Linked DNA regions of Rattus norvegicus. The protein of the gene in region 1 interacts with the protein of each later gene in a pairwise test. Links are inferred from orthologs where the notes say so. Each region holds a gene or a part of one and is shown in the gene's direction. Other genes may lie near its edges. The genes, in order: C7h8orf33, Cep70, Hmbox1 and Hap1.

Region 1 (4,038 bases):
AAACTGAGAGATCACATCTTCAGCTGTAAATGTAAGCAGAATCCAAACCTGAAGTGAGGTGTCTGGTGTCCTAGAACTCACTCTCTAGACCTGGCTGACCTGGAACTCACAGCGATCCCAGTGCTGGGATTAAAGGTGTGCACCACCTCCTTGAGGCTATGAACTCTTCCTACTTCATACCTTCAGGAACTTCCACTAGTGAGATGGTGCCACCCCGTAATCGTCCCAAACAGGACCACCAGCAGGGACCGAGTATTCATTTGCCTTTGGTGGAATTCTCAAACACCCACATTCCATTCCCTGACTCCTGTAGTGTTTTAAATGAGATGTCTTCTATAAATCTCTGGAGTTTGAATCCTTGGTCCCCAGTTGTTGGCTGTTTGGGAAGGATTAGGAGGTGTGTTCTTGTTGGAGGAGGTGTGTTACTGAGGGCTGGGTTTAAGGTTTTCAAAGCCTCTTACCATGCCCATGGTGTTCGCTTCCTCCTGCTTTTGGATCGAGATGTGAGCTCTCAGCTGCTGTTCCAGTCCTCCTCTGCCATGCTTTCCTTCCATCATCATAAATTTTGTCCCCCTGGACAAATTTGTCCCCTAATCAAACTATTTTTCTAAGTTGCCTTGGCCAGAGTGTTTTATGGCCATATCGTAAAGTAAAAATGCATTTAATCTAACTGTAAAAGTTCCCATCATCTTTTTCAGTTTCAACATTGTTTAAAAAGTCCCAAGGTAATCTCTTAACTATAGACCCCGGTAAAGTCAAAAGTAAAATTATATACTTCCGACGTACAAGGGCACAGTATGTACGCTGGCATTCCAAAACTGTGGAATAGAGGCATAGCGAAGAGATACAAAATACCAAACCCTGAAGCTCCGTGTCTGGTATCTGCAGTCCCACGGTTAGACCGCTATGATAGCTATTGCTATTCTTGGTTGTCAACTTGAAAACAAACGTCTGGAATTATCCTAAAACCCACGGGACTGGGTACACCTGTAAGAGAGTTTTTCTTGAGGTGGGAAGATGCACCTTAAATCTGGGCCACGTCTTCGGGTGGCAGCCTATATAAAGGTCGTGGAAGAAGGACGTTCTTGCTCTTTGCATGCTTACTCCTACTCTCGCTGGCAAGTTCACTCCTTCATTGCTATTAGAGCCTAGTTCTTCAGGATTGTGATGTATACTGGAAACCAGCTGAACCATCTGGCTTTATGTGTGCCCCGCCCCGAACCGCCCTGCATGTCCACCTTGCCCCACCTCTGGGCGTTCCCCTCCACCCCGCGGGTTCCATTCTCCCCAGGGATCGTCTTGTTTTTTGGCGGCGCACTCTGCTGGGTTTTCCGAGGCCTTAAGTTAAGTTCCTGTGCACTCTGTCAACCCAAATTACAAGCACAACCTGGAGCGCTCCGTCCCGCGGTGAGCATTGGCTCTGGGTCCGCTGTACTTTCTGCGGAACCTTGTGTCGTAGACCTGTTTCCAGGGGAGTGAGTTCGCTATGGGATTTTTAGGATTTACTAGCTTCCGGTGACCTCTCCAGCTAATGGCGGTAAGCTGTGCGAGGTGTGTTTGTGGCGAGGCCCTAGGTGGGGAGACCCTGTGAATTTCGTCCTGTCCCACGTTTTTCAGGAGCCAGGGCATCCTGCTCGGGAGGCACCAGCAGCCTCAAGCCGGAGAACTAATCGCGCTCCGCGCAGACCTCAGCTCTCTCGCCCAGCTTCCGGTGCCTCGGATCCTCCTCTTCGTAATTCAGTGCAACCTACATGTGACTCCGCCAACAGGACACATCCCGTAGGCAACACAGTATCGATGAAGCAAAAGAAAAAGAAAACCCCGAACAGGGTCTCTGGGACAAATGGAAAGGAAAAGCCCTCCGAGAATCCTACTCCAGATGAAGCTCCCCCTAGTGCTGAGGCCCAGGCAAGGATGGGACTCCCTGTGAGCTTTCTGGATGCTAACCCGCCTACCTGTGTGGGCTAGGTGTGCGGAATTAAGGCGCTGAAGGTATGGGAGTGGAGTCTGCGGGATCCTATTGCCTGCCATGTCCTCCTTTCTACCACAGGCGGAGCAGCTGGCGCGGGAGCTGGCCTGGTGTGTGGAACAGCTGGAGCTGGGTCTCAGGACGCAGAGACCCACCCCGAAACAGAGTGAGGGACCCTACTTTATAGTTAAGGAAATGTAAACCATGACAGTGCTGTGGCCTGGTGGTGTTGCCAAGGGCTGGGATTGTTGCTTTTTGTTTGTTTACGTTGTTTTGGTTGTTTTTTTGTTTTTTTTTTTTGTTTGTTTGTTTTCCCCCCGCGAGACGGTCTCATTGTACAGATCCGCTTGCCTTTGCCTCCTGGGATTAAAGGCATGTGTCACCTCAGTCGAATGGGAATTGTTGCCTTTGTAGTAGGATGATATGGAGTGTGTTTGAAGTTACTAGCGCTTTAATTTTTTTTTTTTTTTAATCTGCAGAAGAGCAGGCTGTTGGGGCAATCCGAACGTTGCGGAGTGAAAAAACCCCCTTGCCCCGGAAGAGACAGCTGATGCGCTCCTTGTTTGGGGACTACAGGGCTCAGATGGATGCAGAGTGGCGGGAGGCCCTACGGGCTTTAAAGGCTGGTGAGGAACTAGAAAGTGATTGGTTCAGTACATTAACTTCAAGGGAGTGGCTCAGCTCAGCTGGGTTAGTGGGGAAGAGATGGGCTTGGGGGGGGGGGGAATTGTAAGCATGGAGAAAAGTATATACCTATTTGGGGACAGAGGTCCCGGAAGGAGGAGGGCCGAGGTCCTCACCTCAGTCTGTTTTGGAGATGGGAAAAACCACTCATCTGTCTTGGCCTGGGCTCACTTCACTGGCTATAAAGCTAGATCCCAGTTGGACTTTAGCTCCTGAAACAATAAATAACTTTGGCATAAATCCTGGATACGTTATTTAGATTTAAACGTTTTTGGTAAGTTACTGCATCTCTGTGAGTCTCATCAGAGAAGGCATTATTTACTTTTAGTACTGAGAAGTTAGGAGAGTTGTAACTGCACAGATCACGTTAGCTGACTCTCCACTCCCCCTTCCTACAGCCACCCGCTCGGCCCAGGTACAGCTGGTTGGCGAGGCCGCCAGAAAGAAGAGTGGAAGGGTCTGCAGGCCTCGTCCTGCAGGAAGAGCCGGAACCATGTCCGACTTGACCAACGAAGAGTTCCGGTTCAATTTCTTTTAGAGGCTCCTACATGCTGGACTAGTCATCCCCTCCGGGGTGGTGAGGGGGATTTGTCTTGAGTGCAGGGCCTTTCCAGGAATCCTCTCAGCAGAAGTGGGATTGGTTTGTCCCTCAGGACATGAAGCTGCTGGCCGGTGTGAAGCTGCCACGTGAGAACTTTTGAAAGAAATGTTCTTCCTGACAGAAGAGAGATGTGGAGTAGCTGCTGGTGATAAGGAACTGTGGAGAAGCTCTCGACACACTGGGCTCACTTTCGAAAGGGCGCCCTGGCCAGTTTTCAGTGCTTTACATATTGTTATATTGCCTTAATAAATCTTTTTTTAAAGAAATAGGATGGTGGGTGGAAGAGAGCTGTCTGTGTTATTGGAAGCAAAGTGAGACAGGGGCTGGGACTGCTTGGTCCAGCTCTGATGCCAGGGCCTCATCTGTTGTTGCTGTTGCTGTTGCTGTTTTTCTGAGCAGGTCATCATCTTCAAGGAGCCAGTGTGGCCACCATCCAGCTGTGTTTTGTTTTTAGGAGCCAAGGAGCTACTTGTCCTAACCTGAACTGAGTCTTAGCAGACCGCATTTAAAACAAAACAAAGCAAAACCCTTTGTTTGTGTGTGTGAATGGTGTGTAAGTGGGCGGGTATTAGCGTGCTGGGCACACATGTATAAAAGTGTCTTTTATTCCCCTGATGTAATTGTCTTCAGAGGCTCACTGCCTTCTTCTGCTAGCCTAGGCCTAGTCCTGGAAGCTTCTAGCCTGGGTACCATCTTATCTAGGCCTGGAATGTTTTCAGTTTCTGAGACTTACTGCTGAATAAGATCACCCTTTCTAGCTCTTTTCTTAGCTCTGGCTGGCTGG
Region 2 (3,563 bases), on another chromosome or scaffold:
ATCTGTTACTTCAGGAGTAGCTGAACAATCTCAAATGGGTTCACATTAAAGAGGAACCTGGACAGATCAATCTTTCAATCTGATTTTTGGATGTAGAACTTAATCTCTCTTCTGCTTGTTTAACCTCACTGCCACTGCTACCTGGCCAGAGCCTGCCCCTTTGGAAGCAGCTGTTTCCTGAGTCAGCCTTCACATGGACCTTGATTTCTTTTTTCATCATTGTTAAAGGGATACTTGTTTCCGAGTGCCTAGTTTTAGTTTTTAGTTGTGTTCTCTGAGAATGGCCTGATCTTTTTTAATTAGACTTATCTGTTTCACTGAAATTACAAGTTGTTTTTGTTCTAATTTCCTACTAAGGCCTGCATGTGAATATTTTGTATAATGCAATAATTTAATCATTTGCATATTTCTATTCTGTTGCTGATTTTAGTAAAAACATCCGTTTTACCTTTAATTTATTTTTTTTTTAAAGATTTATTTATTCCAATGTATGTGAGTACACTGTTGTCACCAGAAGAGGGCATCAGATCTCATTACAGATGGTTGTGAGCCACCAGGTGATTGCTGGGAATTGAACTCAGGACCTTTGGAAGAACAGTCAGTGCTCTTAACTGCTGAGCCATTCGCCAGCCACTTACCTTTAATACATAAAATTTCCTATTAAATCCAGGCATGACACGCACATCTTTTATTCTAGTACTTGGGAAGCCGAGTCAGTCACATCTCTAAGTTCAAGGCTGACCTGGTCTAACATTGCCAGTTTAAGTCCATCCAGGGGTACATAGTAGAGGAAAAAAAATTCATAAAACCTTTTGAGTTCTGGAGAGATGGCTTGCTGGTCTTCCAGCAACCATCACAGCAGCCATGTTGTGTGACTTACAACCACTTCAAACTCAAGGGGCTGACACTTGTCAGGTGTTTGCAGGCAACTGAACTTAATGTGTCATGTCTACATGCAGACACACAAACACGTCCATTTAAAAATGAGACGTCTTTTGGAGAAACGGTTCTTTTCTGAAAACAGAGGCAATCATAGGAGGTTTTTCTCCACATCTTCAAGTGATTTTTTTTCTCTGCTGTGCTTGTAGCAGGAGGAAGCAGAATGGGAAAGCATCAGTAGGCTGTTGGTGACGCGTGGCTTTAAACCTTTGTGCCTAGTCAAAGGAGCCAATCTCAGAGGTAACTACTCCTGCTGATTTGTTAGGTACAAAACAGTTTTTTTAAAGAAGTTTTTTATCTTAAAATGGTTTTACTTTCCCTTTGGTTTTACTATCTCATATGTGTGTGTATATATATAATATATATGTGTGTATAATTTTTTTACAATGCAGATTTCATCGTTTTTGACAAACAATCATCACAAAGAATGAGGCAGGCTTTCAAAACACTGATGGAAGAAACCACACGTCAGCAGAGCATGCTACAGGAGCTCATAGAGACAAACCATCAGCTTAAGTAAGGAAAAGGGGAGTGCCCCTGGGGTTGTTTGCATGTATTCTAAACACAGCTCTCTGAAGAGGATCCTGAAATTTCTTTATACTTAGATTTTTTTTTTTTACGTCTTATGTGTATGAGTGTTTCTGTTAGCATGTTTGTAAATGTCCCATGGGGGTGCCTGAGCCCTAAGTGTTCAGAAGAGGGTGTGAAATCCTCTGGAGCTGATTATGAATGATTATGAAGCACTGTATGCGTGCTGGGAACTGAACCTGGGTCCTTCGGAAGAGTAGCCAGTGCTCTTAACCACTGAACCATCTCTCCAGCCCCCCAAAATTTCATTTGTAATGAATGTAAAACATAACATTTTTTACAGATAAATGGGCAAACACTGAGTAAATTACTTTAGGTAGCACTTAGCACTGACGTGTAATGGTACCTCTGTTTCTTCTGTTACTCCCTCCTGTAAGAGAGACAAGACTGGATACGTCAGGGGGCATGGCCGCAGACCTATTAGAAGATAGAAGTGTTGAGGCTAGGCTACAGTTCAATGCTAATTATGCTAACTTTTGAGTCTCGGCACCAAAATAAAATAAGAAATATTAAAAATGTGAGGGGCGGGGTTAGGGATTTAGCTCAGTGGTAGAGCGCTTGCCTAGGAAGCGCAAGGCCCTGGGTTCGGTCCCCAGCTCCGGAAAAAAAAAAAAATGTGAGGGGCTGGAGAGATGGCTCAGTGGTTAAGAGCACCGACTACTCTTCCAGAGGTCCTGAGTTCAATTCCCAGCAACCATATGGTGGCTCACAACCATCTGTAATGGGATCAGATGCCCTCTTCTGATGTGTCTGAAGACAGCAACCTAAAAGAATAAATAAATAAATAAAAATGTGAAGACATTTTGGAAAGTAACCTATTATATGACATGTATGATCTGGTTTCCTTTAACACTGATGGGATGGAATTGTGTCTGTTAATTAGAAGTGAACTTCAGCTAGAACAGAACCGAGCGGCACACCAGGAACAGCGAGCCAATGACCTTCAGCAGATCATGGACAGTGTGAAATCCAAAATTGGTGAATTAGAAGATGAATCGCTAAACAGGGTTTGCCAGGAACAAAATAGAATAAAAGACCTTCAAAAGGAATATAAAACGTTACAGGTATTCTATTGAATTAATATATTTTGTTATTTGATTAGTGTTAAAATAGTTCATCATAGTTCCAGGTAATTTCTTGTGCCTTCCATGGTGTATGTCCGGCAAAGAAGTCAAGGAAATCCAAATGTTTTGAGGTATGTAGTTGAATTGTTAGAAGAAAACAGTTAACATTGGCAGAGGCCAGTAATGCTAATAGGTGATCTTTTCTATTTAGCACCCCATTTTGACATTCATCTATGTGGCTGCTTGCTGTAGTTTCATGAGTGTTCCTAACAGGTACATGTATATGTCTGTGTGGATGTATGCCATGAATGTATGGGTGCCTTTGGAGGCCAGAAAACGGTGTTAGGTCTCCTGGAACTGGAATTACAGGAGCTTGTGAGCTGATGGTTATGGATACTGGAAACTGAATTCGGGTCCTCTAGAAGAGCAGGAAGCTCTGACACCAATGAGCCTTTCAGCATCTAATACTGCACTGTTGTGCAGCTCATTGTACCTGCACAGGGATTTTCCTGCACTTGTAAATCTAAGTCTACTTTATAGCAGCCATAGTACCATGTTTAGAGCTTTCATGTCCTATATATAGATATCAGTGCCTGAATATATCTAAGATTGTTCTATAATGAGCTCGGATTTCACTGTAAATGCCATATAATACTCTATGTATATCCCATACTGAATATTATAGAAGTCAGTTATCTGCAAAGAAATCCTAGTACAATGTATATATAATAATGTCATAATATCCAGAGTATAATTCTTGCCCTGTTTTGAGCATATGTCGCCCTGTACACAGCTCATAGTGCCTTCATACAGACCATAATGCTCTGTTTAGAGTTTATGGTGTCTTGTGTAGATCTTATAGTGTACCTGTATATGGGGTCATTTTCTTAATTGGTGATTGATGTGGGAAGCCCCAGCCCCTGGTGGGTGAGGCCACCTCTGGGATGGGGGTCCTGGGTAAGAAATCAGGCT
Region 3 (3,563 bases), on another chromosome or scaffold:
ACCTGGTTTTGATGCCCAGCATCAGGAGAAGTATGACTTCATTTCACTTGCCATTTACTTGCCATTCCACTTGTCAGATGCCTTGCCCTGCCCGCCAGGACAGCTGTTAACATAGTAAGTTCTGTGAAGTGCCCAACAGTCCGCTTGGTACTTAACCAGTGGGAAGTTTGCTGTGCATTGAAGCTGGACTCTACCCCAAGCTACACAGAGTTGAACTTCTCCCATTGAAAGATGACTAGCGACTAACCATGTTCTGATTTCCTCACCATAAAATCATGTGCAGCCACTATGTGGAGGCAGCAGATAATTTAGGGATCTATTTGCTTTTTTCGAAGAAGCAGCAATCCTGGAGAGTCATGGGATCGATGTACAGAGTCCAGGAGGCCATTCCAACAGCGACGATGTGGACGGGAACGACTACTCTGAGCAGGTGGGTGGCTGGGCTAGCCTTCTGGTTACCGTGGGGGGCAGTGGCAACTCAAGTCTGTGGGTGGTTGTATGGGGCCGGGGAGCAGCTGGTGTCCCTCCACTCTGCTCATGTGTCTAGTTAGATTTTCATGCGTTTGGAAAGGAATGTGGTAAGACTCTGTTGTCCTGTTAAATCTGTGAGTAATCTCTATCCACCCTATGGGTTTGTTGTCACACAACAGGACACTTGGCAAGCACGCAATGGGGAGGAGGAGGAGGGAAGAAGTTCAGAGGGAGGCAGAGAAGCAGAGAAGGTAGAAGAAGACAGGAGGATCTGACCCAAACAAGCAAGTTACAACACTCACACACACAGTGTTGAGAAACACTTAGGGGCATGCGGGCAGCTGTGACCGTGCCTGCCGTGGACCATGAAGGCACAAAAGGCCCCGCCCACTCCAGTCCCCATTACACTGGGAACCCTCGTGCCCAGAGGAGTGGCTAACCAGAGTCTCTCTGGACACTGACTCATCCTGTCATAATGCAATACCTGCATGGTTTCTCATCTCATCCTGCTGTGCTCTGCCTTGCTTCGGGAAAGTGTATTTAATTGTAGCCACTGCATGGAATAAGTCGATAACTGTGATTGGGGGAATTCCCCACACCCGCAAACATGTTGACAGATTTCATTAAAATGTTCTATAGGATCAAATTTCATTTCCACTTGGGAAATTCAAAGAACACACGGTCCTGTCCCTAGACTCTTTCTTCTGGTGTTTTCCTTGTCCTCAGCCGCCATGTTCTTCATTCTCAGTTGTCCTCAGCTTCCGCGTATCCACTATTGCAGCAACATGTGTGATTCTCTGCAGATTCCTTCTTAAATCCCAAAGGCTAGTGTCTAAAAGCCAGAACGAAACAGTAGTAGCCATGTGTCCCAGCAGATTATGCCCCCAAGAGACCCAGTTCTCCAAGCACAGCTCCACCCTCCGCCCGGGGGAGTGCTGTTTCTTTCTGGAAACATCCCTGTCGTTTGTCAGCAGACCCACATGGATGGATCATTGCCACCTTTTTTTGCAGATGCCCTGAGGGCAGCACATCACATGCTTCCCGCAAGGGACTTTTCTTTCCAAAGCTCTTTGGTACAGAGTCCCCTGAAGATGAGACAGGTGAGATCCGTCCCAGATCTGTGATGGCGCCTTTAGTGCCCAGCACACCTGCAGGGAGAACTTCCATCACTGCTTTATTCCTCGATTGTCTGGGTTTGCCTTGGTTTGGTTTTGGAACTTGCAGTCAGTCTCTTGCCTCGGCCTGGGCATGGTGGGGTCACAGGCGTGTGTCCCTACGCCCACCAGCAGCCTCACTGTTTACTGTGTGCGACTTAGAGGGTGGAAAGCTTCACTTAGCTCTCAGTCGGGGTCTGCACCTGCAACTTGTGTAACTGCAGACCGTCCCTGATCTGTAAGGTGCTTGTTCTACATTTCCTCCACTGTTCTCAGCAGGGACACACTGGGTCCCAGTAGCTTTGTGGATTTAGGAGTACACTAGGTCACTGTTGTATCTGTGGCAAACAGAAAAATCCAGACTATTAGTTTATTTTGATCACTTCAGCTTTGATCAGCACTAGCAATTTTTGGTAGAATAAATACTGTGCGAAAAAAGGAACAAAACAAATCATTTATATCCTTTTTATTTATTGAGTCACAAAAAATTGAAAGTCTCTGGACCTGTGTCCATTCAGTGTCTACTTAAATACAGTTCACCTCCACCATGAGATGCACTCAGCCATTTTCTCCACAGATGCTCTGTCCCCCGCACGGCACCCCTGCATGCCTTTTTGTGAGCTTGAGATTGCTGCCAGCCAACCAATAACATTCCTTTCTTATCTCTGCACGTCTAGGATGACAGCACGAGCCATAGCGACCACCAAGATCCCATCTCGTTAGCTGTGGAGATGGCGGCCGTCAACCACACTATCTTGGCATTGGCCCGGCAGGGAGCCAATGAAATCAAGACAGAGGCCCTGGATGATGACTGATCAGGGAGTTAAACAGTTAACTTAGTTTAGACGTAGCACCTTAGCAGACTTTCCTCGGTCCTTAACATGTGTTCTTACAGTATAACTTACAGTTCCTTGTATGTCAGGTAGCCATTAGGGTCTTGTTCTGTGAAGATGGCATGGTGCCCTCATTCAGCCTTTGCATATACTCTCTCAGTATTCAAACTCCAGTAAGTAAGAAGCAAACAGACAAACCTCCCTCTCCCAGCCCCTGAGGTGAAAAGACAAATCTCGCTGCTCTGTCTTAGCATTCCAAGAAAGTGCTTCCAAGTATTTAGATAACCCTCAGTTCTCAAATATTAGGCTCTGTGTAAAATCTTGGGTACCTTTAGATTCCTGTAAAACTAGGCTGTACCCCGTCCCCGCCCTAAGACTGATGGGATGCAGGCTGAGGCAGTGGCACAGGGCCGACAGACACCATCTGGCAAGGATCCGTGGAGCGGAGCACAAGGAACATAGAGCCCCACCTCGGCGTGAGACGCACTGATTCAGCTGCAATAAGCCGCCTCCTGTCACAGTGTGGCCAGGCTCTACTTCTCTGGGTGCTGTGTTACGAATGTCGTTGGAATCCCAAGCTCAGATCTTGGTTAATGCTAATGCCCAACACAGACATCCTTCTGTCTTACAAGCTGTGTGACCTAGTAGATAATATACTGCCTTCCGCCTTTGGGACCACGATTCTAAAACAAAAAAGACAAAAACCAAGTTCTGAAAAGCAAAACCCAGCTTGAGAGCAGTAGGGAAAGCATGAGCTGAGTGTCGGATGGACGCTAAGCCCAGGTCTCGGGCCGCTATACATTCCACAGCGCGATGCCAGCGCCTGCCTGGGAAGTATTGGAGTTACCTTGGAAGTTGCTTTGCCTCCTGTTGGTGCCCCCTCCCTGCTACCAGAAAGTATAGAGCTGAGGTCAAGAGTGAGTGGAAAGCAGGCTTTGTACCTGTCACCTGAGGCCCACCAAGGGTTGCTAGGACTCTGCTGGGGACCGTGGCAACTTGACTGTCACAGACGGGGATCCTTGCCTAGCTAGGTGCAGAAAAAGCAGGGGACATTGCCACCTACATGTCGAGCGCGTGGGACAGCAGGACGTCCCTGCTGTGTTCC
Region 4 (4,045 bases), on another chromosome or scaffold:
GGCCAGACGGTCTAGTCAAAGTGCTGAACTCCAGATTCCGTGAGAGACCTTGTCTCAAAAAAACGAGATGGCAAGGGCCAGACAACATCTGATGTTGACCGCCGACTTCTGCCCACAGACACGGACACATTCGTACACCACATACAAAATATATTAAAATGAAATATTTTCAAAAAGGTGAAATCAATAGGATTGGCAATTGGAGGATGGTGGAGGAGAAGGGAGAACATCAAGAACGATTTTGAGATCTGAGTCCATGAGTCACCATTTCCTTTTAGCCTGTCTCGCAGTCTAAAAGCATAGACATGGCTACTGCCCTCCCTAGCTCCCACCCCCCTCTCCCAGTTCATTCAGGACCGAGAGCAAGCTTCCAAAGCATCTATTTCTCTGGGGAGCCCACCGTCCATGAACTGAAGAGCATAGGTAAAGTCGTGAAGACCGACATTGATCCTTTCAGACCCCGGGATAACGGGTGTTTTGGTGTGTGTGTGTGTGTGTGTGTGTGTGTGTGTGTGTGTGTGTACACGGAGGTCTGGAAGAGTCGTCACAGAGAAACATTTAAGTAGGATCCCCTCCGAAGATGCTTGGACTATATATAGGCCTTGCGAATTAGGGTTGGAGATAAAAGAACGAGTGGTGAACGCAGTAAGATGGAAGGCGTCTAGGGGCGAGTGCGGGAGTGTGAGCTCGAGGACCTGTGGATGACACGCAACACGTTGAAAGCCATACCGGAGTTTGGATTTCTCGCTTAATCCACCTGGGAAGACACAGGCGTACTGCCTCGATTCTCAGGTCACCTCGGAATGTATTCAATGTTGTGTAGAACAACAGAGAAAGCCCCTGGAAGCTGGGGTGACGGGAGCGCGCGCGGGAGGGCTGGGAGGGGGGGGTTGTTTCTAGGCAGAAGCTACGGGTCCCTCTACTCAAGTCCAGGGAAGCCGCGGCTTTGGACAGAACCATTCTCAGAAGATGGAAGGGAAGAGAAACCCATCATCGTGAACTCGATCCCATGGAAAAAACTGGGCACTCTCTCATCTCTTTCTTTCTTCTTCATTCATTTACGTCCTATTCCGTCACCACTGGCTGCTTTCTCGTAGGATCCCGAGTCCTCAGCACCACTAATTGATCAACGGTCACCCCTAGCGCCACACGTGGTACAGCCCAGTGGCGCCCGCTCCGAGCACAGGTTATAAAGGCTCGGCTGCGACAGCGGACTGCAGAGTCAAGATGCGCCCGAAGGAGCAGGTGCAGAGCAGTGCCGGGGACGGGACGGGGTCGGGGGACCCAGCAACAGGCACCCCCACGACCCAGCCTGCAGCGGATCCCGCTCCGGAGCCCTCGGCAGAGCCCAAACCTGCTCCGGCGCAGGGAACCGGGTCCGGACAGAAATCAGGATCCCGAACCAAGACAGGAGGAAGCTTTTGTAGGTCCAGGATCCGTGGCGACTCGGACGCACCATGGACCCGCTACATATTCCAGGGGCCTTACGGTCCCCGGGCTACTGGCCTGGGCACTGGAAGGGCTGAGGGAATCTGGAAGACGCCAGCCGCGTACATCGGCCGAAGGCCCGGCGTGTCCGGCCCTGAGCGCGCGGCGTTTATTCGAGAGCTGCAGGAAGGTAAACTGAGTCTCGGGGATCCCACACTGGGCGTTATTAGGGCATCTCTAATAACCACCGACTCAGGCGCCCCGCCCCCTTGTGGCTCTCAGTCCCACCTTTCCACCACCCCTGCGAGACCACTGTCCGCCGTGCCTGTTTGGTTTCCCTTTCCCCATCTTTTCCTCTGTCTCAGGTTCCCCGATTATTGTAGGTGCGTCAGATCTAGGGCTGTCTTGCTCTCCCCGCCCCCCTCTTCGCGCCTGTTGCTGTGGCAGATCTGCGCACTCTCAATGCCCCCTCCCCGTCTACCGCAGTGCCAGCAGAGGGGCGGGGGTTGCGGGTGCGCTGCCGGGTGCGCTTTGAGCCTGCGCTAGCCCGCAGGACCAGCCAGCGTGGGTGGGTAGAGCGGGGGGCGGGGCGGGAGCCTTTGACACTGCTTGGCCGGAGGGGTCTGGGTCGCGCTTTCCTGAAGCAGGATTGAAGCGGGAGGAGTGGGCGGGGCACTGGCCTTCTGTCCCTCCTCTTCTGGGCGGGGCAATTTTAGGCTGAGGTGCCCGCTTCTGGTGCTGAAGAAGTAAGTCTACTTGGCCCTCCTGTCACATGCAACAGGTTTAGGATGGGTTACGTGCATCTGTTACGATCGAGGAGTCTCCAGTGAGCTGGCTAAGCTGCCGACTGAGTCAGGCATGATGAATCCAGTATTTCCCCTGACTTCTTATCTCGAGGGACCAGAGACCCAGGGGTCTTGAAAGTCTGGTTCCTGAGCCTGGAGGATGGTTTTGCCTTTACAGCACCCAGGCCCCTCCTGAGAAGGCAGGAGTGCTGAGATCCGGAGCTGTGAAGAGGGTGTTAGGGCCAGATAGAACGCAGTCTCACCACTTTTGTTGTGAGGGATGTAGGGGGCTGTGGGCAGCCTCGGCTCCTTTCCCTGATCCACTCAGGCCTTTCCTCCTGCAGCGCTGTGTCCTAATCCACTGCCCAGGAAGAAGATCACCGAAGATGATATCAAAGTGATGTTGTATTTGCTGGAAGAGGTGGGTACCGCCTTGCCTTCTTCACTCAGGCCAGCCCTCATTTTAGCTCTTCCCTACAGGACTTAGGGCTTTTGTCTGTTTTCTGCTTGCCTGGGTGCCAACTTGAGGGCCCCTTTCCTGAAAGGCACATAGATTTCAGAGGACCAAATCTGGGCTGATCTTTTTCCTCAGGATGAGAAACTGAGTCAGACCCCAGAGTTGGTTAATAGTCTTTGGTTTAGTACTTGGACGGCTGGGTGCTGGGGCAACTTTCTTCTTGTGGCTTAGCCCCTGCTCTCGCCCTCCTGTTTGGGAGAAGTATGGAATGGTTGGCTCTCCTTTTGCAGAAAGAACGGGACCTGAACACAGCCGCTCGCATCGGCCAGTCCCTGGTGAAACAGAATAGTGTTCTGATGGAGGAGAATAACAAGCTGGAAACCATGCTGGGCTCAGCCAGAGAGGAGGTATCTGGGCTCCTAAGGACCAAGAGGAGGGTTCGGCTTGTTCCCTCCCCCAACCAGCACCTGTTCTGCCCCTCCGTGCTCACCTTTCTGCGGCCCCTTTCTCCTGCCCTAGATTTTACATCTCCGGAAGCAGGTGAACCTGCGAGATGATCTCCTTCAGCTCTACTCGGACTCCGATGACGATGAGGAGGATGAAGAGGATGAGGAAGAGGAAGAGGGAGAAGAGGAGGAACGAGAAGGACAGAGGGACCAAGATCAGCAGCACGACCATCCCTATGGTGCCCCCAAGCCGTGCGTGTTCTGCCTTTGTGCCTCGGTTGTCCGTTTGTAAACGGGCATGGGCAGTTAGCCTGCTGGCATTGCCTCGTCTGGGGAAGCCTTGGGGGACTGGGATCCTCCACCCCTTACAGTCTGACTCTCATTGCCCCCTTGCCAGGCCCCCTAAGGCTGAGACGCTGCACCACTGCCCACAGCTGGAAGCCCTGAAGCAGAAGCTGAAACTGCTGGAAGAAGAGAACGACCATCTTCGAGAGGAGGTGAGGACAGGGAGGGGGCGTGCCCTTGGGCAGGGGAGGGTGACTGACGGCGGGGGTGGGGGGGGATGGTGGCGGCCTTACCCCTTCCTATTCCCCTTCCTCCAGGCCTCCCACCTTGACAACCTGGAAGACAAAGAACAGATGCTCATTCTGGAGTGTGTGGAACAGTTTTGTACGTGACACTGTAATCCGGGGAAAGGGCGCTGTCCCAAGAGCTGATAGGAAGAACTCAGGGTTTGGGGTCTGGAGATGCAGTCCTGGCTCCGGCACTTTGCCGCTGTGTTAGCACGGCCAAATTCCTCGGCTTCTCTGAATCTTCATCTTTACAATGAGGACTGATAACCCCGGCCTGCTCTTCATCCCCTCAGGGTTTATGAGGGTCAGGAGAAGCATCACCGTTGAGCATGGAGATGCACTGCACGCATGTAATCT

Evidence for each region.
Region 2: the proteins of C7h8orf33 (region 1) and Cep70 interact in binary tests that used the Homo sapiens proteins (3 or more experiments, as listed by UniProt). The link is inferred for Rattus norvegicus from reciprocal best matches to the Homo sapiens genes C8orf33 and CEP70.
Region 3: the proteins of C7h8orf33 (region 1) and Hmbox1 interact in binary tests that used the Homo sapiens proteins (3 or more experiments, as listed by UniProt). The two-hybrid records come from large-scale screens. The link is inferred for Rattus norvegicus from reciprocal best matches to the Homo sapiens genes C8orf33 and HMBOX1.
Region 4: the proteins of C7h8orf33 (region 1) and Hap1 interact in a two-hybrid assay, tested with the Homo sapiens proteins (2 studies listed by BioGRID and IntAct). The link is inferred for Rattus norvegicus from reciprocal best matches to the Homo sapiens genes C8orf33 and HAP1.

What each region holds. Positions count from the first base shown.
Region 1 is NC_086025.1:110,561,461-110,565,498, forward strand, and holds C7h8orf33 (hypothetical protein LOC681282), read left to right. Parts: upstream 1-1,274; 5' UTR 1,275-1,531; coding exon 1,532-1,537; intron 1,538-1,617; coding exon 1,618-1,908; intron 1,909-2,050; coding exon 2,051-2,135; intron 2,136-2,448; coding exon 2,449-2,595; intron 2,596-3,051; coding exon 3,052-3,191; 3' UTR 3,192-3,525; downstream 3,526-4,038.
Region 2 is NC_086026.1:108,710,206-108,713,768, forward strand, and holds part of Cep70 (centrosomal protein of 70 kDa), read left to right. Parts: exon of another isoform or gene 1-220; intron 221-1,088; coding exon 1,089-1,179; intron 1,180-1,331; coding exon 1,332-1,455; intron 1,456-2,410; coding exon 2,411-2,591; intron 2,592-3,563.
Region 3 is NC_086033.1:43,254,008-43,257,570, reverse strand, and holds part of Hmbox1 (homeobox containing 1), read left to right. Parts: intron 1-335; coding exon of another isoform or gene 336-338; coding exon 339-430; intron 431-650; coding exon of another isoform or gene 651-746; exon of another isoform or gene 747-755; intron 756-2,302; coding exon 2,303-2,440; 3' UTR 2,441-3,563. UniProt on the Homo sapiens protein: Binds directly to 5'-TTAGGG-3' repeats in telomeric DNA. Associates with the telomerase complex at sites of active telomere processing and positively regulates telomere elongation.
Region 4 is NC_086028.1:85,783,664-85,787,708, reverse strand, and holds the start of Hap1 (huntingtin-associated protein 1), read left to right. Parts: upstream 1-1,205; 5' UTR 1,206-1,227; coding exon 1,228-1,618; intron 1,619-2,557; coding exon 2,558-2,634; intron 2,635-2,960; coding exon 2,961-3,077; intron 3,078-3,189; coding exon 3,190-3,368; intron 3,369-3,513; coding exon 3,514-3,613; intron 3,614-3,718; coding exon 3,719-3,785; intron 3,786-4,045. UniProt on the Homo sapiens protein: Originally identified as neuronal protein that specifically associates with HTT/huntingtin and the binding is enhanced by an expanded polyglutamine repeat within HTT possibly affecting HAP1 interaction properties.